Linked DNA regions of Callithrix jacchus. The protein of the gene in region 1 purifies or fractionates together with the protein of each later gene. This does not show direct contact. Links are inferred from orthologs where the notes say so. Each region holds a gene or a part of one and is shown in the gene's direction. Other genes may lie near its edges.

What was found.
Region 2: the proteins of HDAC6 (region 1) and MYH10 purify together in Homo sapiens (affinity purification with mass spectrometry; 3 studies listed by BioGRID, with this or other methods). This does not show direct contact. The link is inferred for Callithrix jacchus from reciprocal best matches to the Homo sapiens genes HDAC6 and MYH10.
Region 3: the proteins of HDAC6 (region 1) and TUBB purify together in Homo sapiens (affinity purification with mass spectrometry; 4 studies listed by BioGRID, with this or other methods). This does not show direct contact. The link is inferred for Callithrix jacchus from reciprocal best matches to the Homo sapiens genes HDAC6 and TUBB.
Region 4: the proteins of HDAC6 (region 1) and DNAJA1 purify together in Homo sapiens (affinity purification with mass spectrometry; 4 studies listed by BioGRID and IntAct, with this or other methods). This does not show direct contact. The link is inferred for Callithrix jacchus from reciprocal best matches to the Homo sapiens genes HDAC6 and DNAJA1.
Region 5: the proteins of HDAC6 (region 1) and CCT5 purify together in Homo sapiens (affinity purification with mass spectrometry, with the first as the bait; 3 studies listed by BioGRID). This does not show direct contact. The link is inferred for Callithrix jacchus from reciprocal best matches to the Homo sapiens genes HDAC6 and CCT5.
Region 6: the proteins of HDAC6 (region 1) and PLAA purify together in Homo sapiens (affinity purification with mass spectrometry; 4 studies listed by BioGRID and IntAct, with this or other methods). This does not show direct contact. The link is inferred for Callithrix jacchus from reciprocal best matches to the Homo sapiens genes HDAC6 and PLAA.
Region 7: the proteins of HDAC6 (region 1) and DBT purify together in Homo sapiens (affinity purification with mass spectrometry; 3 studies listed by BioGRID and IntAct, with this or other methods). This does not show direct contact. The link is inferred for Callithrix jacchus from reciprocal best matches to the Homo sapiens genes HDAC6 and DBT.

Annotation. Positions count from the first base shown.
Region 1 is NC_133524.1:49,380,703-49,384,831, forward strand, and holds the start of HDAC6 (protein deacetylase HDAC6), read left to right. Parts: upstream 1-1,329; 5' UTR 1,330-1,348; coding exon 1,349-1,444; exon of another isoform or gene 1,445-2,058; intron 2,059-2,139; coding exon 2,140-2,262; intron 2,263-2,346; coding exon 2,347-2,475; intron 2,476-2,610; coding exon 2,611-2,699; intron 2,700-4,129.
Region 2 is NC_133506.1:75,147,190-75,151,394, reverse strand, and holds the start of MYH10 (myosin-10), read left to right. Parts: upstream 1-1,405; 5' UTR 1,406-1,541; coding exon 1,542-1,648; intron 1,649-1,842; exon of another isoform or gene 1,843-2,116; intron 2,117-2,118; exon of another isoform or gene 2,119-2,310; intron 2,311-2,405; exon of another isoform or gene 2,406-2,665; intron 2,666-4,205. UniProt on the Homo sapiens protein: Cellular myosin that appears to play a role in cytokinesis, cell shape, and specialized functions such as secretion and capping. Involved with LARP6 in the stabilization of type I collagen mRNAs for CO1A1 and CO1A2.
Region 3 is NC_133505.1:35,516,684-35,520,960, forward strand, and holds the start of TUBB (tubulin beta chain), read left to right. Parts: upstream 1-1,477; 5' UTR 1,478-1,633; coding exon 1,634-1,690; intron 1,691-3,604; coding exon 3,605-3,713; intron 3,714-3,957; coding exon 3,958-4,068; intron 4,069-4,277. UniProt on the Homo sapiens protein: Tubulin is the major constituent of microtubules, a cylinder consisting of laterally associated linear protofilaments composed of alpha- and beta-tubulin heterodimers.
Region 4 is NC_133502.1:140,228,480-140,231,175, forward strand, and holds part of DNAJA1 (dnaJ homolog subfamily A member 1), read left to right. Parts: intron 1-1,052; coding exon 1,053-1,168; intron 1,169-1,482; coding exon 1,483-1,583; intron 1,584-2,696.
Region 5 is NC_133503.1:195,394,553-195,398,052, reverse strand, and holds part of CCT5 (T-complex protein 1 subunit epsilon), read left to right. Parts: intron 1-1,277; coding exon 1,278-1,470; intron 1,471-1,552; coding exon 1,553-1,702; intron 1,703-3,500. UniProt on the Homo sapiens protein: Component of the chaperonin-containing T-complex (TRiC), a molecular chaperone complex that assists the folding of actin, tubulin and other proteins upon ATP hydrolysis.
Region 6 is NC_133502.1:133,955,892-133,958,185, reverse strand, and holds the end of PLAA (phospholipase A-2-activating protein), read left to right. Parts: intron 1-1,061; coding exon 1,062-1,627; 3' UTR 1,628-1,794; downstream 1,795-2,294. UniProt on the Homo sapiens protein: Plays a role in protein ubiquitination, sorting and degradation through its association with VCP. Involved in ubiquitin-mediated membrane proteins trafficking to late endosomes in an ESCRT-dependent manner, and hence plays a role in synaptic vesicle recycling.
Region 7 is NC_133508.1:145,663,719-145,667,218, forward strand, and holds part of DBT (lipoamide acyltransferase component of branched-chain alpha-keto acid dehydrogenase complex, mitochondrial), read left to right. Parts: intron 1-2,393; coding exon 2,394-2,610; intron 2,611-3,409; coding exon 3,410-3,500. UniProt on the Homo sapiens protein: The branched-chain alpha-keto dehydrogenase complex catalyzes the overall conversion of alpha-keto acids to acyl-CoA and CO(2).

The DNA of each region.
Region 1 (4,129 bases):
CCTTGACCCTTTGCAAGACTCCCTACTCTATTATGTTCCAGGTACCACAACTCTAGAATTTGTGTGTGTGTATCATTGTATGTGTTTTCTTTGGTGAGTGTAGGAGTTTAAGTCTTAGGTCTGCAACTCTTTTGCGCTGAGACAAAAGAGGTTCAGGTAGGAGGAATGAAAAGGGAAGAGGCAGCAGGAATTGGCATCTTCAAAAGGATCAGAGGGCACAGCTACTGGGCGGTGAGACCGTCAATCTGTCAGTCTGCGACGCTGAACCCCCGGACTGCGAACTGCTTATCTCTCCGTTTCCAGCTTATAGACCGGTAGGAAATGGTGGAGAATGAGAGAGGGAGATTAGGAGGACAAACCGGCCTCCTGCAGAGCTGACATTTAGACCCAGAGTGGGAGTTGCGGGGAAGGGGGTTCCCAAGGACAGCTCCCCCGACTCCCCGGGCACACAGACACTTTCTATTACTCCTTGGGAGCAGAGGTTACCCGTCGGAGGGGGCAGATAGGGAGAGCTGCTGCCCATGAGTAACTCCCCTCTTCGAGTCCATTCTGGCCCTGGGTACTATTATTATCACAACTTTCCAGATAAGGACACGGAGCACAGAGCTGTTCAGTAACTTGCCCAAGGTCACATGGTTAAGTCCCGTAACCTCAGTTTCCTTATCTGCAAAGCAGCCTTAATAATGGGAACTACCTCATAGAATTGTGGTTTACAACGATGCCTGTCACACACTTGCTATCATTACCATTCCCTGCCCCCACTAAGACTCCTTTCACCCAGAATATTGCGGCAAAATATTAATAGCTAACATTCGGCTAGTGCTTCCTGTGTACCACCGTACTGAATACTAACTCGAAAAATCCTCACAACATTTAGCATCGTCACCACGCCTATTTTGGCCGCCACCAGCCAACGTCCAGTGGCAACCCCGCTCTCGGCCCATCCACAACTAGCCCGCCCGCGCTACGTCATCACGGCGCGTCGCGCAGGAAGTCCCGAGGAAGAGGGAAGAAGCCCTTCCTAATTCCCACGCTTCCTTGCTTGCTCTCGCGACACCGCTGGCCTGGAGGGCTCCTAAGTGACTGGACGGGGACAGAGGGGCGGCGGCTATGGCATACAGGATGACAGCGATGGTAATCGAGGGAGTGGAGAGCTTGCGCCGCAGCCCGGTCGCGAATCAACGGCGCGCGCCTTTTACGTAGGCACAGTACAGTGACGTAGCACGCCGACGCACCATCCCGCCTTCTGTGAGATCGCGAGAGGTGTGGCTCGCGCGAGGGGCGCGGCCTTGAGGCACGTTCCCTTCCGAAGGCGGGATCTGGGCGGGCAGTCGAGAGACCAGGCCCAATGGAAAAGAAAGGCCCGGACACTCGCGTCCCCACGGGTCGCCAGGAACTTGGCGGAGCGAGCCAAGGGCGGAGTTTGAGAAAGGGGTTGCGCCCGGTGAGTGGAGCGGCGAGGACTGGCCGCGTCGACAGCGGAGGCGGGAAGGGGGTGGAGGCCGACTGAAGGCGCTCAGGACTGGCTGAAGGGGCTTAGCGAAACGTTAGCGGTCCGGTCCGGGCAGGGGGTGGAGCTGGTGAAGGAACGGGGCAGTCCCCTAAGGAGCGGGGCTGGTTGAAACGCTAGGGGCGGGATCTGGCAGAGTGGAAGGTACCGGTCCGGCCCGATAAGGGGTGGAGTTAAGTGAATCGTTAAGGGTGGAGTTGAGGCCGGGGCCGGGGCCGGGGCGGGCTGAGTGAAAGGGTGGGTGATTATCCTGGGAGATAGGCCGAAAGGGCAGGTACGTGAAGGAATGGGGTCCGGGCCGGGCTTAGAGGGTCTGGGAAGGGCTTGGGAGAGTGGAAGGGGTGGTGATTGGTTGGAAAGGGTGGGCCCTAAAAGGGATTGAGTGAGCCAGGGGGCTCATTGCTCAGTGAAAGGGCAAGACCGGAGAAAGAATCATGTAAAGGGGTGGAGTCTAGCGGACCGGGCGGGTCCAGGTAGCATGGCCACCTGAGTGGAGGGAGAAGGCCTGAGAGAGGCGGAGTTTGGAAGGCTGTGGAGAAAAAGATCGCGTAAGGAATGGAATCTAATAGAGGGGGCGGAGTCCTCTGGGCACACTTGCCCCTTCACACACCCACGCCTCCCCCCCCCAGAACCGAGACAGGGGCAAAGCCTCCTCAGCTATGACCTCAACCGGCCAGGATTCCACCACAACCAGGCAGCGAAGAAGTAGGCAGAACCCCCAGTCGTCTCCTCAGGACTCCAGTGTCACATCGGTGAGGCCCTAGACCCGCCCTGAGGAGGGGAGAGGGAGCAAGCTGGCCATGCCCTGGACTCTGACCCTTCTCTCTGATTCGCAGAAGCGAAACATTAAAAAGGGAGCCGTTCCCCGCTCCATCCCCAATCTAGCGGAGGTAAAGAAGAAAGGCAAAATGAAGAAGCTCGGCCAAGCAATCGAAGAAGACCTAATCGTGGGACTGCAGGGGATGGTGAGCAGGGCCTGGCTGCAATTTAGCCTCGTATGACAATCAAAACCCAAAGGTTCCCCACCGTGGACAGTTTAGGATGTTCCTTCTGACTCAAGGCCTAAAATGGATCTGTGTCTCCTTTTTTTTCCTCTGCAGGATCTGAACCTTGAGGCTGAAGCACTGGCTGGCACTGGCTTGGTGTTGGATGAGCAGCTAAACGAATTCCATTGCCTCTGGGATGACAGGTGAGGCTGGATCTTCCAGGCTGTCTCCAAATCACAAAAATACATACACTTAGAGCCCATTAGCAAGAACAAATCCTTTCTTACCCCAGCCTGGATACTGGAAGCAGGTGATTTGGGGAGGTAGGGCTCACACTTGAAAGGGTTTTTCTATGTAGCAAACAAACATTTATTGAGTGCCTACTGTGTGCCAAGAGTTAGTGATACAAATGTACCAAACAACAGACAGGGTCCCTTCTCTGGGAACTGATTGGGTGAGTAGGAGGGCAGAGTCTTAAACAGTCAACAGCAGTATGAGGTATTTAATGAAGACAAATTTAAGACCAGAGGGATTCAAGGGTGTGTAATAGAGGATCCTAGACTAGTATCCGGGCTTCCCAGGAGCCTTTCTAGAGGAAAAGACCTCCCATTTGCTTTACTTTTCAAAAAGAATCATCAAATCTTTTTGGCTATATGTTAAATTATATTCACCATTTGACCTCAACTCACCACCTCCACTGCCACGATCATCATCACTCACCTAGACTTCCAGAAGCCTCCTCCCTGGTCCCCTGCTTCCAGCCTTGCCTTATTGTCTGTTCACAAAGCAACGTAAAAAAAATATGTGTGAAATGATGTTGTCTTTGTTTAAATACTTTAAGGAGGCCGGGTGTGGTGGCTCACACCTGTAATCCCACCACTTTGGGAGGCCAAGGCAGATGGATTGCCTGCGTTGTCAGGAGTTTAATACCAGTCTGACCAACATGGTGAAATGTCGTCTCTACTAAAAATACAAAAATTAGCTGTGTGTAGTGGCACACACCTGTAGTCCCAGCTACTAGGGAGGGTGAGGCAGGAGATTCGCTTGAACCCAGGAGGCGGAGGTTGCATGAGCAGAAATCACGCTATTGCACTCCAGCCTGGGGCAACAAGAGCAAAACTCTGTCTCAAAAAAAAACTTTAAGGGCAAACTGTTACCCTCAAGGTAAAGTCCATATTCTTCATCCTGGCCTCAAAGGTTCCACATGATCTGGCTCCACCTCACTTTGTGACTTCATCAGCCAATCCTCCTCACCGACACTTGTCCCCTTATTCTTCCAATATGCCAGGCACCCTCTTGTCTCTAGTCTGTACCCTGGCCAACCCCTTTCCCAGAGACTCCTTTCTATCTTCTTCTCTTCCAGTTACCTTTCACATCCCAATGAGACTTTCTCAAAGAGGATTTTGCCTGGCCAAACCCTACCCCAATACCTGATCTTATTTTCCTAGCCCATGGCATTGTGTGCTAATTGTCATACTTGTGTGTTGACCAATTGATATCTATATCCCTTATTCCAACCTAAGACTAACTTATTATGGCAAAAGACTTCTTTTATGGAATACCTATTTAATGTCTATTGAGGAGCAGGGGATACAGCAGTAAACAAAAGAAACAAAAGCCCATGCTTTCAGGG
Region 2 (4,205 bases), on another chromosome or scaffold:
AGGCTTAGGCAAACACATCATTATCACACGTACTAAAATGCACCCATAGCCTATATTAATAACGGATTAATAACTGCATCTTGCTGTACATTTTTATGATCTTGATTTTCAGGTTATGGATGAACAAATAATTCATTTTGTCCATGTGATTGACTTTATTATTTTTATATATAATTATGTAAGAGTTATGTTGCCCTTGTCTAGGTTCTGCAGACATTTCATTAAATTTTGTTCACTTTGATTTTTCCAGTTTCCTTTCCTTATTTTGGGGCTACCGTCTCTCAAGTCTCAAATGTTTTCATGGGCCCAAGAGGATATGACAGCGCTGCAAGAATCCAGCTTTACATTCCTAAGAACCTGTCACAGCCCCTCTCACGTAGGGAGCTCTGATTAACGAATGCAGGAGCAAAGGAACGAGTGAATGAATATGAATAAAGTTTCTTCCAAATCTTCTCTCCAAGGTCGGTTCTCCTCATTCTTTTGGAATCTCAGCCTTGCCTGGAGATTGGGCAGGAGAGCCTCTCGCCCCACTAACACCAAAACTGCGGCCTTGGAGGACAGTATCCGGTGCCCGGCCGACCCTGCAGAGTCAGCCCGGGGCCCGGGTCGGGACAAGTGGCCGCAGCGGTGCGCGGCCAGAGCCCGGGCAAGGCCTGTGCGCATGGGCGGAGCGGTGCCCTCCCCCGCGTTCCCTTCCCCTCTGCAGGTGAGTCGCAGCGACGCGGCCCCCACCCCGCGCAGCCCTGGGGGTGACGTCAGGCCTCTGTACCGCGCTCCGCCCCGCCCCTGCAGGCAGCGCAGGGGGCCCACGATTCCACGGTGGAACCCCGTCCTGTTGCGGTAGATGCCAGACGCCGCAAGCAAAGGCGGCGACAGGGCGCTGGAGTGTGCTGCGAAGGCTGCCCGACGCTAGAACGAGGAGCGTGCAGTCAGAGCGCGGAGCTCCTGCTGCGGACCACCTGCCCTGCGGTTCGCACAGCGGTGTCAGCGCAGCGCGCCTACAGCCGCAGGGTCCGCACCCGCCGCCTCCGGGGATCGCCGGGCGCCCAGCCAGCCTCAGCTGTCCATCTACGCACGAGCCAGCCAATCGCGCGCCACTGCCCCGGCCGCACCTCCCGGAGCCTATGACGGGCGTAAGAGCCAGCCTATGAGATTGGGGCCTTTGTGGACAGGACTAGGAGCGGGAGCCAATGAGCATCATTCCAGGTGGGTGGAGGGAGCCTGGCTCGGGAAGGTAGCTTCGTTCGGGTTGCTAACGTCTTCCCTTGGAGATGGGCGCGCAAACCGACCAGTGGGTCTGGGGGCGGCGGTGATGGGCGTGGAGCTGGCCCAATGAGGGTGGGGGTGGGTGGGGCAGCCTCGAGCCGCAGTGCTAAAGGAGCCCGGCGGAGGCAGCGGTGGGTTTGGGACTGAGGTGCTGGATCAGTGGTCGCTGCTGGGGACGTGCGCCGGCGCCACCATCTTCGGCTGAAGGTGAGAGGTGCGGCTGCCCGAGTCCGAGTGCACCGCCCAGGGTGCGGGGACAGTTTGTGGAGGGAGTAATGGATCCCGGGCTGAAGGGCCCGGGCGGTTCTGGAGGGCAGGAACGAGGCCGAAGCGGTAGCTGGGGAAGACAGAGGGACTTCTCAGCTGTAGGATTTGTGCTGCGGTAACCTTAATTTCGTTTGAGCAGGGTCCTGGGGGGGGGGCAGTGGGACCCCAGTGGGTGGAGATGGAGAGACTCCTGGAGGGGCGGGGAATGAGGTCCTTGTGAGACCCCTACTGGGATCAGGGCCTGGGTGTGCGGGAGGGCGACCCCTGGGGGGCTGGGGATGGAGATCTTGGGGTGGGGACGTGAGGACCAGGTCTTTGGTGTGTGGAATCCCTAGGGGCGCGAAGTCGGGGAGCTAGTGTCCCGGCGGAGGTCTCGACGTGCCCTGCGAGCCAGTGTCTGCTTCCCAGGAGGGGAGGGGATTCTAGTGGGGCTGGAAAGCGCAGTCCGGGCGGTGGGGTCGTGCTGGACAGGAAGGACCCCTGAGTGGGTTGCTGGGTGGGTTAGACCCGGCGGGACCGGGCCCCCCTGAGCGCCAGAGGGGTTCACCGAGGGCTTGGAAGGCGGGCGGCGCGCGCCAGACCGGTAGGTGGAGGCACCGGAGGGCATAAGCTCTGCACGGCCGGGGGAGCGCGCGGCGGGTGAGGGGCTCCGGAGCCGGCCGCGGGCCTGGGGAGGGTCGGACTCCGCAGACGCGGGGGAAGGAGCACGGGATGGGGGCGTCCTGACGCGCCCTCGGTGGAGCGCCTAGTCAGGGGGTGGACGCCCGGCGAGGCCCGGTCGGTTTGGAGCGGGGGCGAGGCGGGAAATGTGGCGGGGCGCGCTGCAGCAGGACGGCCGGGGGGAGGGTCAGTCCTTGCCTCGGGATTCCTTTATTGTGTAAGCGAGCTGGGCATGGCTCGCCGCAGTCTCTTCATTGCCTTCTGCAGTTGGGGGTCACACCCTGATCCCATAAAATCGGACTGGAATTGGGTCGGAGGGAAGTGGAAGCCGCAGAGTCCTGGCATTTGCGGGGTCTTTGTGGGCCTGTGGTGGGCGGATGCGGCCCTGGGACGCTGGAGGCCCCCAGCCAGGCCTGCTTGGAACTAGGGCCTTAGGAAGGAGGTTGGCGACTCGGCGGGCAGACCCGAGCTGGTGAGGTTTGGGTAACGTGGCCTCTGCCGCCAGCCGTTATCTCTGTTTCTTAGGGCCTCTGCAGCTCCCTTCAAGATCACTGCGGTGGATGGAAGGGGGGGGGTGGTGGGCTGGGGTGGGGTAGGGGAAAGCAGGCGGGGTAGATGCAGACTGCAGATGAAACAAAGACTGCTGTTTTCGCTGAATAATGTAATACCAAACATAATACTTTGGCTTTGCTGAGATTTTGTTTTTTAACGTTGAAACTGAGGATTCTTTGAGTCAGGTTTAATTATTCTTGATGGTATCTCACTCTGGAAAACTTTATAATCTTTTTATTGTTTTATCTCCTTCATCAATCTGCCTTTATTAATTCTTCTTTGAGTCCCTTGCTTTTGATGTTTAATTATGCCCAGTCTGTCTCGGGTTCTGGAAAAGTGGCCATTTTATGCATCTCCCTACTTCTGCATCTTAAATTGAGTTCTTCCCCGTCCTTATCTGGAGAAAGCATATGGTATAATTGTACGATATAGCAAGAGCTTTGGCAGCAGAAGGATGTGACCCCTGAGAGCCTGGCTTTTCATTTGGGCTCCTTAGGGAAATTATTACAATGAAGGCAGCCGGGATGGAAGGTGAGATGGAGGAAATTTTGAAGGGCACGTTGTAGGGTGGAAGACTATATGCTTCAGTGGTTTATGTACTTTATCACATGAGGAATTAAAAGTTCCTGGCATAGGATTCTAGTTTTGGAAATATTTAACACAGTATAGAGATATTAATTGGGAGACGGGGCAGGCCATGAGTAGCAATAGTGGCCTTTTGCGTTTGGTTTGTGTTTGTGATCATTGGGTTAAGCAGAATTTTGATAAATTAGCAGACTTGTCCTGCCCTGTAATATAAGTGACCTCGTGGTAGCAGTACACAAATTGGGACAGTTTTGTTTTAGCTCATCTGTTATAGATGGATGCTCTGTCATGGCTAATTTATCCATCCTTCTTGTTTGCCTTTCTATATGCAGGCTGTTCATAAAATTGAATTGTTTGCCTCTGTCCACACTTACAGTAGGGGCTGGGAGGGGGCTGAAAAGTTTGCTGGGTGGCATTTCATTGGAAGTGAAAAATGACCTGGGGGTGGAGCCTCAGGGGTGTGTGTTTCAAACCACTGAGGGATGAGAACTTCGGCTCTGTAGGGGGCTAATTCATACACAGATAGATGATTTCATTATAATTGGGCAGCAATTTCAGATGACACCAGTGTCCCTCTGACTATCTTTATGTCTGCTAACAAAAATATTCCTGTTTATTGTTATTTCCCCTAAGTTATGGGTATCTTTTTCTGTAAAATATAAAACCTTTGCCAGATTATTCATTGGCTAAACCATAATTGATTGGGTTTTTATTTAGTAGAAAGGTAGTATATAGCATTGTACACTACATGCCCTTCAAAATTTCCTCCATGTCACCTTCCATCATTGTAGCATGTACTCTGGAGCTGAACTCTGAATTTAATCCCAGCTCTGCTCCTTATTAGCTGTGTGCCCTTGGGCTGGTGATTGGCTTTC
Region 3 (4,277 bases), on another chromosome or scaffold:
AAATAAGCAGATTTTACAAATGAGGAGTTGAATCCCTGCAAAGTTAAAGGACTTCCCTAGGTTCCTTTAATTTGTCCTAGAGACAAATTGAAACAGGTTATCGAATTCTGTATTTTGGGTTATTTCTACTTCCACAAAATAACTGTTACTTCCCTAAAACATAAGTTATATTTTACGTGGGTAGAGAGGGGCTTATACAAGTTGATGTTCCCTTATTTAGAAGGCAACTTAGAAATACATGTATCTGTGTGTCATCGAATGTGAATTAACAATGACTTTGACTTGATACCACATTTCTGAGTGCTTACGACATTTTATTGACTGTATGCTTCTCAGCAGCCTGCAACATCCTGGAGTACAGGGAGCTAATTCTTAATCATTTCGTATCCCTAGTTCCTAATTTGGTGGATACATAGTATCTATCAAATAAGTGAATATATCTCTGGGAAGAAGCAGATGGACTCTGTCTTGGGCGCATCCAATTTCCCCCCATCCATCACCTCTCCTTTTTCAATACTGGATCTCTGGCAGAGTTGTAGAGACGGCGGCCACCTGGTCAGTGAAATCAGCGAATTGAAAAACCACTGACTTCATCAACGTGTCTAGAGAGGTAGGCTGAAAAAAATTGAAAATCTATCAGGCATCTCATAACACAGTTCCCTATCTGACAAGACCAAGGTGTCTTCAAATTCTGCCCTAAGGTCCAGATTTCCTATGTGGATGGAGACTTCTGGCTTCAGAAATCCCCGACATCGGTTTCTCTAAACCATTCATTTTATTCTTTGAACATACTCTCCAGATATCTCTATCTTGAAAAGCCCTTGCTGCAATTTTGTTTCTCTTTCAAAACAATGATTCGAAAATTCCCAAAGAAACAGCAAGAGGGCAATTCCCTCCTTGAAGTGTTTGAGGGAGCAGAGGCTTACTGAAGTTCAGGCCTTGGGTCACCAAGTGCCAGAGGTAGCAGACTACCTCGGTGCCACACTTCTCCCAGTTTTCGCTGAGCTGAGCAATCCTGTCTTCCCCAGAGATACTGCAGCCGGGAGCTTTCAAGGCGTGCCTATCGCACCACCCAACTTCTGGAACCCCAGACTTCTGAACTGCCGTATCCCCGAGAACTGATCACTTTTTGTACAAACACCTCAGGCACAGAGGAAAGGAACCTTGCGCAAGGTCGTTTTTCATTTACAAAACGAAAACCCCACAAAAACCAAACCGGTATCCACCCATTCGTCACTTCATTTTGCAGCGTGGACAACAATAGGTGACTACAACTCCCAGAGAGGACTGCAGTCGTCCACTGCCTCAGAGGCCAATGGACGCCCGGTACATGACCGACATCGACTAATCAGGGCCAGGCTCGATGAGGCTTTGTCTTCCGACCGCGCGAGGGGCCGATTCTCCCGCCTCCCAGCCCCGGCGCACGCGCGCCCCGCCCAGCCTGCCTTTCCTCCGCGCCCTCCCCTCTCCTTTCTCCCTCTCAGAACCTTCCTGCCGCCGCGTTTGCACCTCGCTACTCCAGCTCTGGGGCGCATTCCAACCTTGCAGCCTGCGACCAGCAGAGAAAAATAATTACCTATTTTTTTTTGCCCCGTACATACCTTGAGGCGAGCAAAAAAATTAAATTTTAACCATGAGGGAAATCGTGCACATCCAGGCCGGTCAGTGTGGCAACCAGATCGGTGCCAAGGTAAGAATTTTACACCTCTTTTATTTCTTTTTAGAAGGAAAAATCCAGGTAATTTATGAAAAAATGGTTGTGGGGCATTTGCGCCCTTCATCCTTAATCAAGCCTTGCCTCTCCCAACCAAGTTTGTAACATTTATATACATAACAGTTGTAGCTAGCATTGGCTTTTGGAAAGCTGGGAATCATTTTTCTTGGCAGACACATTTTGGAGAAACTAGCAAAAGGGCTCTTCGGGTTTCGGGGGCGGGAAGACGGAGGATCTGTGAGCTTTTCACTTAGAAGGGCTTCTAACGGTCCGAGAACCGGGCAGGGAGAGAGATGCGGAAATGGTCGAAGACAAAGCGGGGCGAGGTTTTGCCCATGTGCATCCCGCCCAACCCCCCTGCGGGGTTCGAAGGGCCAAACCCGAGCGGGTAAGGGCGAGGCAGTCGGGCTGCTGCGGAGAGCTCCAGTGCAAGGGTGGGGGGGCGACGCGCCAGGGTGGGCTGTGCTGCGGGCTACTCTTCACAAAAGACCAGGGAGCCCAGCGCGCCCGCGACCCCGGAGAGCGGATCGTCCCTGAGTGGAAGGAGAATAAGAGCGGGATTAATTTTACTTGCTTTCATGGTCCCTAATAGAGATCATTTTAGGGCGTGAAGGGATATGGGGAGAAAATGGGGTGTGTGACTTTTTTTTACCAAGTCCCTCAGGACTTAAGGGGAGAGAAAGAATGCATTAAATCAAGGGGGGGAAATCTAGCGAAGGAATAAAATTCGAGGCCAAGGGGAATTTTTTTTTCTTTTTTTTTTGCGCGCGGTTACAGTGTAGCGGGGGAGGGGCGGGAGGAAGTGCGGCTGCTACGTTGTAGCAGAAGGGCGGGGCCCTGCGGGGCGGGGCCGAGGCGCGCGCGGGGACAGTGCGGTCCTGCCCGCCGGCGGGGGCGCGCTACCTTGGGCCCCGCCCCTCGTGCGCGGAATTCTTGCCCCTGGCCCCGCCCACGCGCGAAGCCTTTTGTCGGCGGCTCGACCTGCGCGTGCGCTGCAGTCACATGGAGGGCGGGGGGTGGTCGACTGCGGCAGCCACTCACTTCTCGGACCCCCAGTCCCCGGCCTTTTGTGCTTGGCGCGGTGGGGCGGTGCCCCGCGCTGTGGAAGGAGAGCGGCGCTTATCTTATTGTGGTCGACCTCCTTCCGCCCACCCGAGCGCTTAGGAATCGCTGCACATACCTCACCCCAATCGGAGAAAGCTGTGACTTCCCGGGGGAGCGAGTGTCTAGGGGAAGGGTGTGGCAGGCACACGGGATGCCAGGCCGTAGAACAATGGCCTGAGGGCATATGGAATTAAAATAGGAGGTGTGGGGCCGAGGCGGGCGGATACTTGGCAACAAAGCGAGGACCGCCCACCCCCCACCCCGTCTCTACAAAAAAAATAAAAAATTCACTGTGCACCGCGGTGGCGCGCGTCTGGGGTCCTAGCTACTCCAGAGGCTGAGGTAGGAGAATCGGTTGAGCTTGTCAGCTCCAGGTAGTATTGGAGCTGTGATTGCGCCACTGCTCAGGCTGGGCAACAGGAAGACCCTGCCTTAAAAATTATAAAAAGAGGCCGGGTGCGGTGGCTCACGCCTGTAATCTCAGCACTTTGAGAGGCCAAGGATCACGAGGTCAAGAGATCAAGACCATCCTGGCCAACTAAAAATACAACAATTAACTGGGCGTGGTGGCCTGTGCCTGTAGTCTCAGCTACTTGGGAGGCTGAGGCAGCAGAATCGCTTGAACCCAGGAGGCAGAGGTTGCAGTGAGCCAAGATCTTGCCACTGCGCTCCAGCCTGTGTGACAGAGCAATACTCCGTCTCAAAAAAAAAATAAAAGATAAAATGGTACTTTCGACATAGTTGGCTGGGACTTGAGCTGTTGTACTTTTTGCTCTCACCCGGCAGTTCTGGGAGGTGATCAGTGATGAACATGGCATCGACCCCACTGGCACCTACCACGGGGACAGTGACCTGCAGCTGGACCGCATCTCCGTGTACTACAATGAAGCCACAGGTGAGGGCAGGAGCCCGGGCAGCTCGGGTTCCCTTCCGTGTGTCCCACTTCTCTGGGTCTCTCTACATTCTTGGGCACGCCTTACTCTTTGGGTGATCTGTCATCCTTTGCCTTGGGTGAGCCACCGTCAGGGCCAGACGTCTGCTGCCACCTGGTGGCAGCACCTGGAATGACAGGTCTGGGGTCCCCGCTGTCTCCCAGCCTTCTCTGCCAGATCTCACAGCTTTTACTTTATTTTCTGTAGGTGGCAAATATGTTCCTCGTGCCATCCTGGTGGATCTAGAACCTGGGACCATGGACTCTGTTCGCTCAGGTCCTTTTGGCCAGATCTTTAGACCAGACAACTTTGTTTTTGGTGAGTTATACAGATATTAGCAGATGATACACCATTGTGTTCAACTTACTTAGATCCAAAGACAGAGCAGAAGTTAGGAGATGATGCCCTGGCGTGCTAATACAGAACTATGTTCTGAAATGTAATGGAGGGTAGAGGTAGTACTGCTATTGCTGGTAAATTATGGGGCAGTGGGGGGAGAATACATCACAGAGAAGGAGAAAGAAGAT
Region 4 (2,696 bases), on another chromosome or scaffold:
AGCCAGGCGTGATGGTGGGCACCTATAATCCCAGCTACTTGGGAGGTTGAGGCAGGAGAATCACTTGAACCAGGGAGGCAGAGGTTGTAGTAAGTCCAGATTGCACCATTGCACCCCCAGCCTGGGCAACAAGAGTGAAACTTAGTCTCAAAAAAACAAAGTATTTCACAAATGTCTGAAGATAATGGAAAGGGTTGTCAAGCTTAGGATTTTGATGTTGTCATTTGAGAAGAGTATTAAAGATTAAAGATATTTTATTAATGTGGGCTGGAAAAGAGGAAAGTCTAAGCATGAGGAGGAAGTGGGCTGTTAAATATGAAAGGCTGTATTCACTCACAGTGTGCCAGGAACTGTATTTCAGGTACATCAATGAGGAAATTCTTAAAGTCAATTAAAAATAAATTGGTCATATAACCCCCTTATTTAATTTCATGGAGTCTAAATTATCTAGGACCCTGCCCAGGCTGGAGTGCAGTGGCACAATCTCAGCTCACTGCAAGCTCCGCCTCCAGGTTCAAGTGATTCTCCTGCCTCAGCCTCCTGAGTAGCTGGGATCACAGGTGTGTGCCACCACACATGGCTAATTTTTTTTGTATTTTTAGTAGAAAGGGGTTTCAACATGTCGACCAGGCTGGTCTTGAACTCCCAACCTTAGGTGATTGACTCGCCTCAGCCTCCCAAAGTGCTGAGATGACAGGTGTGAACTACACCGCCCAACCTAAGCCTCACTCTTGTGAGTTTTGTTATTTTTTTCCCTCTGAGAAACTAGATTAAAAATTAGGTAATGAAACAATTCAGGGATGGTAAATGGTAAAGGCTGCCTAGAGTGTGTGGAATGACTTTGAATCCTTATCTAGGAAACAGGGCTGGCAAGTTCTACATGTGTGCTATTCCCATATCTCTGCTCTGTTTGATTTTTACAATGGGGGAAGAAAAGAGAATCTTTACAAAAGACACCCTTGCTTTTATTAAACCAATAAACAATAGCCTGCTTTGGTACATCTACTGATTGGTGATTTGAAAAATGTAAATATGTGTCATATTTTATGCAGACGAGGAGAAGACCTTTTCATGTGTATGGACATACAGCTGGTTGAAGCACTGTGTGGCTTCCAAAAGCCGATATCTACTCTTGACAACCGAACCATAGTCATCACCTCTCATCCAGGTATGGTAACTAGGCAAGCTTAAGCTTCTCTTTTCTATTCTAGTATTTTCCTTGTCTCCTGATAACACAGTAGAGGGAAACGCATTGTTTTTCTTCCTTGGTTACGTACCATTTCCTGGGCTGAGATGAAGTTATAAGGTCTTGGCTCTCTTGTCTGCCCTTAAAAAACCCATACATGAAAAGTAACAGGATTGTTTTGCCACCTAAGTTTTACTTCTGCCAGTGAGCTAGGACAATGCTCTCTGTTCTTTATTTTCTCTGCTTCATAAAAATGTGACCATACTTAAAGAAGAACTTGGCTTCAATGTTTTTAGGTCAGATTGTCAAGCATGGAGATATCAAGTGTGTACTAAATGAAGGCATGCCAATTTATCGTAGACCATATGAAAAGGGTCGCCTAATCATTGAATTTAAGGTAAGCTGTAAAGTACTTTATATTTGAGAAGAACAACTGGCTTACTAAACTCTGATTTTTAAAATAAAAAATGTAAAAATTTCAGCCAGGTATGGTAGCTCATGCCTGTAATCCCTGCATTTTGGGAGGCTGAGGCAGGAGGATATCTTGAGCCTGGGAGCTTGAGAACAGCCTGGGCAACCCGGCCTTAGAAAAGATAGTGAAACCCTGTCTTTTTTAAAAAAAAAAAAAAAAAGAGAGAGAATTAAAATTTCTGAATGCCAAGCAATCTGAAGTTTATATTTTTCCTTACCCAGCAATTAATACACTGATCTGGTTACATGCCTCTGGCACACGCCTATGATCCCAGTGCTTTGGGAGGCCTAGACAGTTGGTTCACTTGAGCTCAAGAGTTCAAGACCAGCCTGGGCAACATGGCAAAACTCCATCTCGACAAAAAGTACAAAACTTAGCCTGGTACGGTGACATGCACCTGTAGTGCAATTGTTCTTCTCAAGGTTGAGGTGGGAGGATTGCTTGAGCCTAGGAGGTCAAGGCTGCAGTGAACCAAGATTGTATCACTGTACTTCAACCTGGGTGGCAAAATGAGACCCTATCTCGAAACAATTTTATCTAATACTACTAATGTTGAGTGAGCATTCTTTGTTAACCAGGTTGAGGATGGGGTATTTGCATCATTAATTGGATACTTAAAGACAGATTGTGGGAAGGGTGTGCTGGACAAGTGGCTATTTTACTAATTATAAGTTGTAACTGTTAAAGTTTAGAGGCACTTTATAATTGCAGATTTCATGGCAAAATAGTGTAATGCTTGATTTGTTAATAGGTATAAAGCAATCCAGTCAATTTCAGTCTTAAATTGGCCTCTCATCACAAAAGATATTAATTAAAACATCTTTTTTTCCCCATTATTGAGAGGGAGTTTTGCTCTATCGCCCAGGCTGGAGTGCAGTGGTAAGATACTGGATCACTGCAATCTCCGTCTTCTGGGTTCAAGCAATTCTGCCTCAGCCTCCTGAGTAGCTGGGATTACAGGCACCTGCCACCACACCTGCTGGTGTTTTTAGTAGATGGGTTTCATTTTTGAGTTTTTAGTAGACAGGTTTCACCATG
Region 5 (3,500 bases), on another chromosome or scaffold:
TATTCAGCAAATTGCTGATCCAAAATTATAACTTAGTAAGGAGAAACAGTCTTGAAACTGACTTGTCTCTGGTGTTTTCAACATTTGCATAATACCTGTTCGCCAAGCTGGCTGCCTGGTCTTAATGGGCATAAAGACACAGCTCTTTCCCCCAGGAAACTCTAAGCAACCTCAGCCAAGGGGTGCACTGATTATGAACAATGATAAAGACTTAAGGTCTGTTGCCATAATATAACATAAAAATTCAGTGTAAGTTACTTAATTACAATTACTTTATATCAATGAAAGATGTTTTCAAGTGTGTGCTTGTGGTGGTTTTAGCAAAAAGGAAGGAGGGGTCTTCTCAACTCGGTAGTTGGGGAAAATGCAGGAAATGTGTCGGCCTCCGTTGCCTTTTCCCCTGAGGAAAGCCTCTGTTAGGGCAGAAGCCTTCAACGGTGCCTGCTGTGCTCTAACCACAGGTCGTAGCAGAGACTAGCTCTCTAGGCAAGAGGAACTACCGTAGGGGTAGCCTCGGTCACAAGTATAACACTATTTTCTCAAGAGAAGGACATCATCATTACTTGACGTGTACATCTCTGTTTTATTGTTGCTTTAAAGTTGGCCCTGTTCTGTTTGCAAGTATTAACTCAGTCTACTTAAGATACAACATTTTTACTTTCATGATTCTGTTTTATAGATAATCTAAGATTTCAGACATTTCAAGTGCTAGGTTTCCCTAGTTGTTTTTCTTGGCTCAAAAATGAATTTAAGGAGCAATCTATTCAAATGTTTCAAAGCTTTCAAAAAGGCAGCATCCTCTGGGTAACTCATGTTGTGGGAATTTCACTTCCCATTAAGTGCTGCACTTCATTTAGATAAGATTGACTTTTCCCCGAGTTATTACTTATCTTTCTCATTCTGTTCTGAACTTGTAAAATTGTAACGTATTCTGTAAAAGTGGTGCATTCTAAGACGACCTTAGTTCATGCCAGACTACAGTGGTTTCTTGAGTACATTTATAATGGAAGGAAATAGTAAATTCCAGAGTTAACAAAAATAAAGGATGTAATTATTTTCCCATCTAAGTGCACAGTCCCCTTTGCGGTCCATGGGTCAGTCACAGGTTAAGAATCTCTGCCCCAGCCTGTTGAAAATGCAGGCGGAGACGACATTCCCTTCTAGAAGATTCAGAACATCATTTGATTTATATCTTTGAGTAACATTGTATCATGTGGCCTGCTTTGGTTGCGGTAATTGTGAAACCAGTGAAGTTTGTTTTGTGGTGATTTCATCAGGGTCAACAGTTGTCACCGACAAATGGCGGAGATCGCTGTGAATGCCGTCCTCACTGTAGCAGACATGGAGCGCAGAGATGTGGACTTTGAGCTTATCAAAGTAGAAGGCAAAGTGGGTGGCAGGCTGGAGGACACTAAGCTGATTAAGGGCGTGATCGTAGACAAGGATTTCAGTCACCCGCAGATGCCGAAAGTAAGCCGTTGGGTTTCAGAGTTTCACACTGTTGGTTAACTCATAATTTCACCAATTAAAATGTCCTTATGTTTCCCCATAGAAAGTGGAAGATGCTAAGATTGCAATTCTCACATGTCCATTCGAACCACCCAAACCAAAAACGAAGCATAAGCTGGATGTGACCTCTGTAGAAGATTATAAAGCCCTTCAGAAATATGAAAAGGAGAAATTTGAAGAGATGATTCAACAGGTAAGTGTTACCGGAGTCCTCAGTGGAATTTAAACTCCCAGAGGATACAGTTAGTTAGGTGTGGTTCGTAAATACGCGTAGTCTTCAGTTCTAAAACATACACAAGAACAAACCAGATGGCATAGAAAGGTACAAACAGAGAAGAATTCTAATTTTGTCTTAAAATGGTAGCGTGTTCAAGGCCCTGAAAGAAGTGATCCTGTTACCTAAAGCCATGCTCTCGATTGTACGTTATTACACTTGCTCTCCTGGACAAGTGTGACGTAGCCTACCTTCCCTTTAAGATTTCTGACTATACCTTTTAGGCAAGAGTTAATGAGTAACTGGAATTAAACCAGAATGCACTTATAGGAATCCCGTTCTTCACTCAGATAAATCTAGTTTGGGTTCACGAATACCTTAGCATAGGTGTGCTTGCTCTCTGATGTAGCAGCTCTTCTTTGGGGACTCTGTCGTTGGGAGCTGAAAACACAGGTACTCAAGAATACAGGAGCATGGGTTGGTTAGAGCATTATTTACCATAGCAAACCAACTAGAGGCTATTTTCATGTCTGTTCTTGGGAGAGTCATTGTATTTATCTGCTCATTCATGATGTGGTTTTTTGTGCCTTCAACATATCAAGCTCTGTTGTAGGCACTAAAGGTTCAGCAGTGAATGAAGCCAAGCTTGTGCTCTTGAGGCACAGATAAGGGAAAGGTGGGTACAGCTCTGTTACAGATGCTGCTCAGAGACATGACCTGTAGGGAGAAGCTAACATTGAGTGAAGCAGCACCCCCAGGGGAGAACATTTCAGGCTAAGTACAGATGGGGATGCTCTTGAGGCAGGAACGTGGTTGGCTGGTAGAAGGAACAGCCAGCCTCAGGGACTAGAGCATGCTGGCAGGAGCTTGTACATACAAGTCCATTATCTGGGCAGGTGGGCCCGTCGGCATGAAAATTGTGGCTCATCTGCACCAGGGGGTCAGAGATATACTGAGAGGCCGGGAATGTTACTGGATCACACTGGTGGGGCGCAGGTTGCTGAGAATGAGAAAGGAATGGTGCTGGGGCTAGATGCTAAAATGTTAATGAGAGGCAGGGACTCGAGAACATTGAAGGTGCCTGAGGAGTAAGAAGGAGCCCTCTCCTGTTTTGAGCACGTGAGAGGGAAAGCAGCTGCCATCTGAGGATGGTTGCAGGGCAGGTTGGTTTTCAGGGGTTGTGACAGAAGCATTGTATAAGGAGGCTGCTCTCCTGGACTGAGCTCCAGAGGATCAGGGAAGGAAGAAAGGGAGAGCTAGGCCGTAGCGGATGGTCTGGGAGGCCTGAAGGAGACAGGTAAGCGGGAGTTGTGGGGCACGGTGCAGCCATCTTAGGTAAGCACCAGCGGTGGGGTGGGCAACCTGATGGCTGCCTTCCTGATTGGGAAAAGTCACTTTGCCATTTGCAGGTTGGGGTGACAGTGCTTCTTACTGGAAGCAGAGTTGCTTCTGTGGGCCCCTGAATTAGTTGGTATTTATGAATCCAACTGAAGATTGTCCACTCAGACAAGTTGCAAGTGGTTCATAACATTGTTTAAAACATACTCAGATGAAAGTTCTCCACAGGTGTTTGTGACAGGGCAGAGCCTTTTCCCCATGGTTGGGAGAGGGTATTAGCTTTGTTTGTTGACAAGTCTGTTGGTTTTTTGCGTCACTGTAACAATAGGGTTCAGTATGAATTACTGATTGTGGTTTTTAAAGCATAGTTTTAAAAATGAGGTGATCGCCGTTGATAATACATTTAGAATTTGGAACTGACAGAAAGAGGACACTTGTC
Region 6 (2,294 bases), on another chromosome or scaffold:
GAGAAATATCTAATGTATATGATGGGGTGATTGATGCAGCAAACCGCCATGTATATCTATGTAACAATCCTGCATGTTCTGTACATGTACCCCAGATCTTAAAGTATAATTAGAAAAAAAAACCAACTCTCTGTTTAACTGTTTGGTCTTACAGAATTTTAAAAAGCAAGGTCTGCACTCCATTCTTTCCATTCTTTTTTTTTTTTTGAGATGGACTTTCTTTCGCTCTTGTTACCCAGGCTGGAGTGCAATGGCACGATCTCGGCTCACTGCAACCTCTGCGTCCTGGGTTCAGGCAATTCTCCTGCCTCAGCCTCCTGAGTTGCTGGGATTACAGGCACGCGCCATCATGCCCAGCTAATTTTTTGTATTTTTAGTAGAGACGGGGTTTTTAGCATGTTGACCAGGATGGTCTCGATCTCTTGACCTCGTGATCCACCCACCTCAGCCTCCCAAAGTGCTGGGATTATAGGCATGAGCCACCGTGCCTGGCCTTCCATTCATTTTTGAATACTCAGTGTGTCAGGCTATTTGATAACCCGAGAGAGTTACCTTATTTTTAAAGTGAATATGATCTTACAGTAATAAATCTAGCTTATATAAATCTGAGAAGTTGGCCAGGCGCAGTGGCTCACACCTGTAATACCAGCACTTTGGGAGGCCAAGGCAAGCGGATCACTTGAGGTCAGGAGTTCAAGACCAGTCTGGCTAACATAGTGAAACTCTGTCTCTACTAAATATTCAAAAAATTATCCATGTGTGGTGGTCTGTGTCTGCAATCTCAGCTACTTGGGAGGCTGAGGCAGGAGAATTGTGTGTATCCAGGAGGCGGAGGTTGCAGTGAGCTGAGATCGTGCAATTGCACTCCAGCCTGGGCAACATTGCGAGACTCCGTCTCAAAAAAATATATATATATATTTTTCATTTTTTAAAGCATACACATAATTTTTCACATTTTCGAAAATGGTTAATTTTGTAGTGGTAAAAAAATCCTTAAAAGTTGATAGTCAAAAGAAACGGTCTTTATTTCCATAAACATTAATGACATTTTTTTAAAATAGATATTGTCTTTCCTGCACTTGACATTCTTCGGTTGTCAATTAAACACCCCAGCGTGAATGAGAACTTCTGCAGTGAAAAAGAAGGAGCTCAGTTCAGCAGTCATCTCATCAATCTTCTGAACCCTAAAGGAAAGCCAGCAAACCAGCTGCTTGCTCTCAGGACTTTTTGCAATTGTTTTATTGGCCAGGCAGGACAAAACCTCATGATGTCCCAGAGGGAATCACTGATGTCCCATGCAATAAAACTGAAATCAGGGAGCAATAAGAACATTCACATTGCTCTGGCTACATTGACCCTGAACTATTCTGTTTGTTTTCATAAAGACCATAACATTGAAGGGAAAGCTCAATGTTTGTCACTAATTAGCACAATTTTGGAAGTAGTACAAGACCTAGAAGCCACTTTTAGACTTCTTGTGGCTCTTGGAACACTTATCAGTGATGATTCAAATGCTGTACAATTAGCCAAGTCTTTAGGTGTTGATTCTCAAATAAAAAAGTATTCCTCAGTATCAGAACCAGCAAAAGTAAGTGAATGCTGTAGATTTATCCTAAATTTGCTGTAGCGATGGGGAAGGGGGACTGAAATTTGTAATTGATTAGTGTTTTTATTTCCTCACATTTGACATGACTGATACCAGATGATTAAGAAAAGAATACTTTGGATTAAGTAAAATTTTAGATGTGTAAAGTGGTGGGGAGGGGAAACAAATAAAATTTTTGCACTGCTGAATTGTGAGATTTTCCTGTGTAATGTGGGTAAGTTTTCAATAGTATGAAAACAAATTTAAAAGGAGCTATAATCAGCAGCAACACAATGACAATGACATTTTCCCCTTGCCTTAGCCACTGAGGAGGAGACAAGGGCTTTTATTCATATGACTTGCTTTTATTACTTAAATACACCAAACTGTTGTTGTCAATAATCTTTTATTTAACTTCTCTACCTATTTTCATTGCTAGATTCTTCGAACAGCACTGATACATTTCAAGGTCTTGTTTTAGGTTAACTACTAAAATTTTTTAAGTTATATTAAATTTATAAAATAATATATAAATTATTCATATATTAAAACAAAATAAGATAAATTCTTGATTTGTCATTTATAAATCCTAAAGTATATTTGTTTGATGGCTTATTTTTAGATGAAGAAAAAGCCAGTTGGTAAGCTATGTTAGGCATGTATCAGTTCAGACAGACAAGGTCTCAATTTAACTCCAGGCTTGGGTCTG
Region 7 (3,500 bases), on another chromosome or scaffold:
AGGGCTGATATCCAGAATTTACAAAGAACTCAAACAGATTTACAGGAAAAAAACAAACAAGCCAATTCAAAAGTGGGCAAAGGATTTGAACAGATACTTTACGAAAGAAGACATATATGAGGCCAACAATCATATGAAAAATTGCTCATCGTCACTGATCATCAGAGAGATGCAAATCAAAACCACATTGAGATACCATCTCACGCCAGTTAGAATGGCGATCATTAAAAAATCTGGAGACAACAGATGCTGGAGAGGATGTGGAGAAAAAGGAACACTTTTACACTGTTGGTGGGAGTGTAAATTAGTTCAACCATTGTGGAAGACGGTGTGGCGATTCCTTAGAAATAGAAATTCCATTTGACCCAGCAATCCCATTACTGGGTATATATCCAAAAGATTATAAATCCTTCTACTATAAGGACACATGTACACGAATGTTCATTGCAGCACTGTTTACAATAGCAAAGACCTGGAATCAACCCAAATGCCCATTGATAATAGACTGGATTGGAAAAATGTGGCACATATACACCATGGAATATTATGCAGCAATCAGAAATGATGAGTTTGTGTCGTTTGTAGGGACATGGATGAATCTGGAGAATATCATCCTCAGCAAACTGACACAAGAACAGAAAATGAAACACAGCATATTCTCACTCATAGGTGGGTGATGAAAAATGAGAACACATGGACACAGAAAGGGGAGTACTAAACACTGGGGTCTGTTGGGGGGAAAAGGGGAGGGCCAGTGGGAGGGGGAGGTGGGGAGGGATAGCCTGGGGAGAAAAGCCAAATGTGGGTGAAGGGGAGAAGAAAAGAAAGCACACTGCCATGTGTGTACCTACGCAACTGTCTTGCATGCTCTGCTCATGTACCCCAAAACCTATAATCCAATAAAAAATTTAAAAAAAAAAAAAAAAGTCGCTTGAACCTAGGAGACAGAGGTTGCAGTGAGCCGAGATGTGCCACTGCACTCCAGCCTGGCGCCTGGCGACAGAGCAAGACTCTGTCTCAAAAAAAAAAAAAATTCTGATACCTTAAGTCGCACACCCAGAAATTTTGATTTCATCAACAAACACTGTGGCTTGAGAATGGAAAGAGCTTTCAAATCTCTCCTCGATGATTCTGAGGTGCAGCCAAGATTGACCACCACTTAGCTGGAAGAATTTGAGGCTCTCACATTTCTCTGAAGTAGTATTTGCACTCAACCTGAAATTCTCTACGTGCTGGAATTCGCACCACTTCACCAGGCAGTTCCTTCTTTGACTGATGGTTCAAACTGTGAAACCTTATTTTTTCAACTGAACTGAAATTTTACTCCACACCAATTCTAACTTGCTGTCCCAGTTGCCTTGAGATCAAGTCATCCCAATCAATAAACTGTGCAGTTGATGAAAAAAAAAAAAAAAAAAAAAAAAAAAAAGATTTAGGTATATCAGAAATCATCCTTTTTCTTTCATTTTGCATATTTATGAATTGAGTTTGTTTAAAATTAAGAACCAGTGGCATTTACAGTTGCTTGTAACTGCCTAAAAATTATTTGTTTAAATTTTCAGAGTCCATTTGTTGCAAACTTAGCATTTGCCTTAGTGAAGTTCTTTATTATTTTAGATATCCTTAGAGATGCACTAATACAAATGAAGTGGGGCCGATCCCTAGGAAATTAATGCATGCTATGTATGGAGAGATCATTCCAAGCTTTTATGTTTATTTGTATTTAAATAGAATTAAGTGTTTCGTATTGATCTTTCCAAACCAACTACCAGAAAAATAACTAATTTGAGAGAGCTTTTGTATTGTGATTATTTAAGCTGTTACGTTTTTAACCATCAGAGACATTGGTTTTAACATCAGAGACATTGGTCTAATATTGTTACAGCCTTTAGTTTCTCCTTAAATTCTCAGTTCTCCCTCTTCTTATACAGTCCCTAGGAATAGAAATGTTTGAGTAAGAATTATGCAAGAGATTTTAAAATACTTGAGTATAAAAATATAAGTTTTCAGCTGGGCGTATTGGCTCACGCCTGTAATCCCAGCACTTTTTGGAGGCTGAGGTGGGAGAATGGCTTGAAGCTTGTTGTTCAAGACCAGCCAGGGCAACAGTGAGATTCTGTCTCTACAAAAAAAATTTTTTTAAGTAAGTTTTCATAAATAGCTCTAGATTATATATAATATGGGTATCTGATGGTTACCACATGTACATAAAACAGTGTATACAAAAGTAATAAATGAGTACTTAAGTAGAAAATGAAAAGGTTATTTCCGTTTACTAATTTGTTAGATATATATATATGCATATTATTTTCAGTTGATCAGATTCCATTTTGAAACTTTAATAATGTTTTTAAGTAGTTGTATTTTTGGCATTAAAATATATCATTTTTTAGATTAAGCTGAGTGAAGTTGTTGGCTCAGGAAAAGATGGCAGAATACTTAAAGAAGATATCCTCAACTATTTGGAAAAGCAGACAGGAGCTATATTACCTCCTTCACCGAAAGCTGAAATTATGCCACCTCCACCAAAGCCAAAAGACATGACTATTCCCATACCTGTATCAAAACCTCCGGTATTCACAGGCAAAGACAAAACAGAGCCCATAAAAGGTAATGATAATAATAATAATAATAAAGGGTAGTTATTTTGTTTTGGGGGAATCTATCTCAGTAGATAAATGTATATAATATGGTGTTTTGAAGACTTAAGGGAAAGTTCAACTTCAGTCAGTATATAATTTTTTAATAGTAAAATAATATAGTTTTTCCAGGAAACACTCCCAATGTATATGTACTGTTTTTCTGAAGGTAATACATTAGCAGGTTTCTTCGTATACTGACAGTTGCTGTTGGAAGACACATGCAGGATATTTTAAACATTCACTATTTGTAGTTAGCTTTCAAAACAACTAGTTTTAATTTATTTATAAACTCTTGGAATGATTAACTTCCAGAAGAGTGGCTTTGCAGGAAAGCTGTTAGGGAAATATATGGCTTGCATTCTTTTGCATTTTTTATATAACACAGCATTTAAAGCAGTTACCTGCTACATTATTGCATTTGCGACTGAGTGTCATGATGCAGTCAATGTTCCAGCTTTAAAATTAGTGACTTCCAATATAATGTAATGTAATGTAATGAAGAGAGTGTTGTGAGGAAAGGTTTAACTGAGAAAGGAAAGAACATTAGAGAACCTTCCATTTTAGCTTTTCTTTTGTTTTTCTTTCTTTTTTTTTTTTTTTGAGATTGAATCTGGCTTTGTCACCCAGGCTGGAGTGCAGTGGCGTGACCTCTGCTCACTGCAGTCTCTGCCTCCTGGGTTCAACGACTTTAGTTTCTTAAATAAAAAAAAATAATAATGACGGGATTTAAGAATTTAAATAAATGAATAACAATTGAATGCTTTCAGGATTTCAGAAAGCAATGGTCAAGACTATGTCTGCAGCCCTGAAGATCCCTCATTTTGGTTATTGTGATGAGGTTGACCTTACTGAACTGGT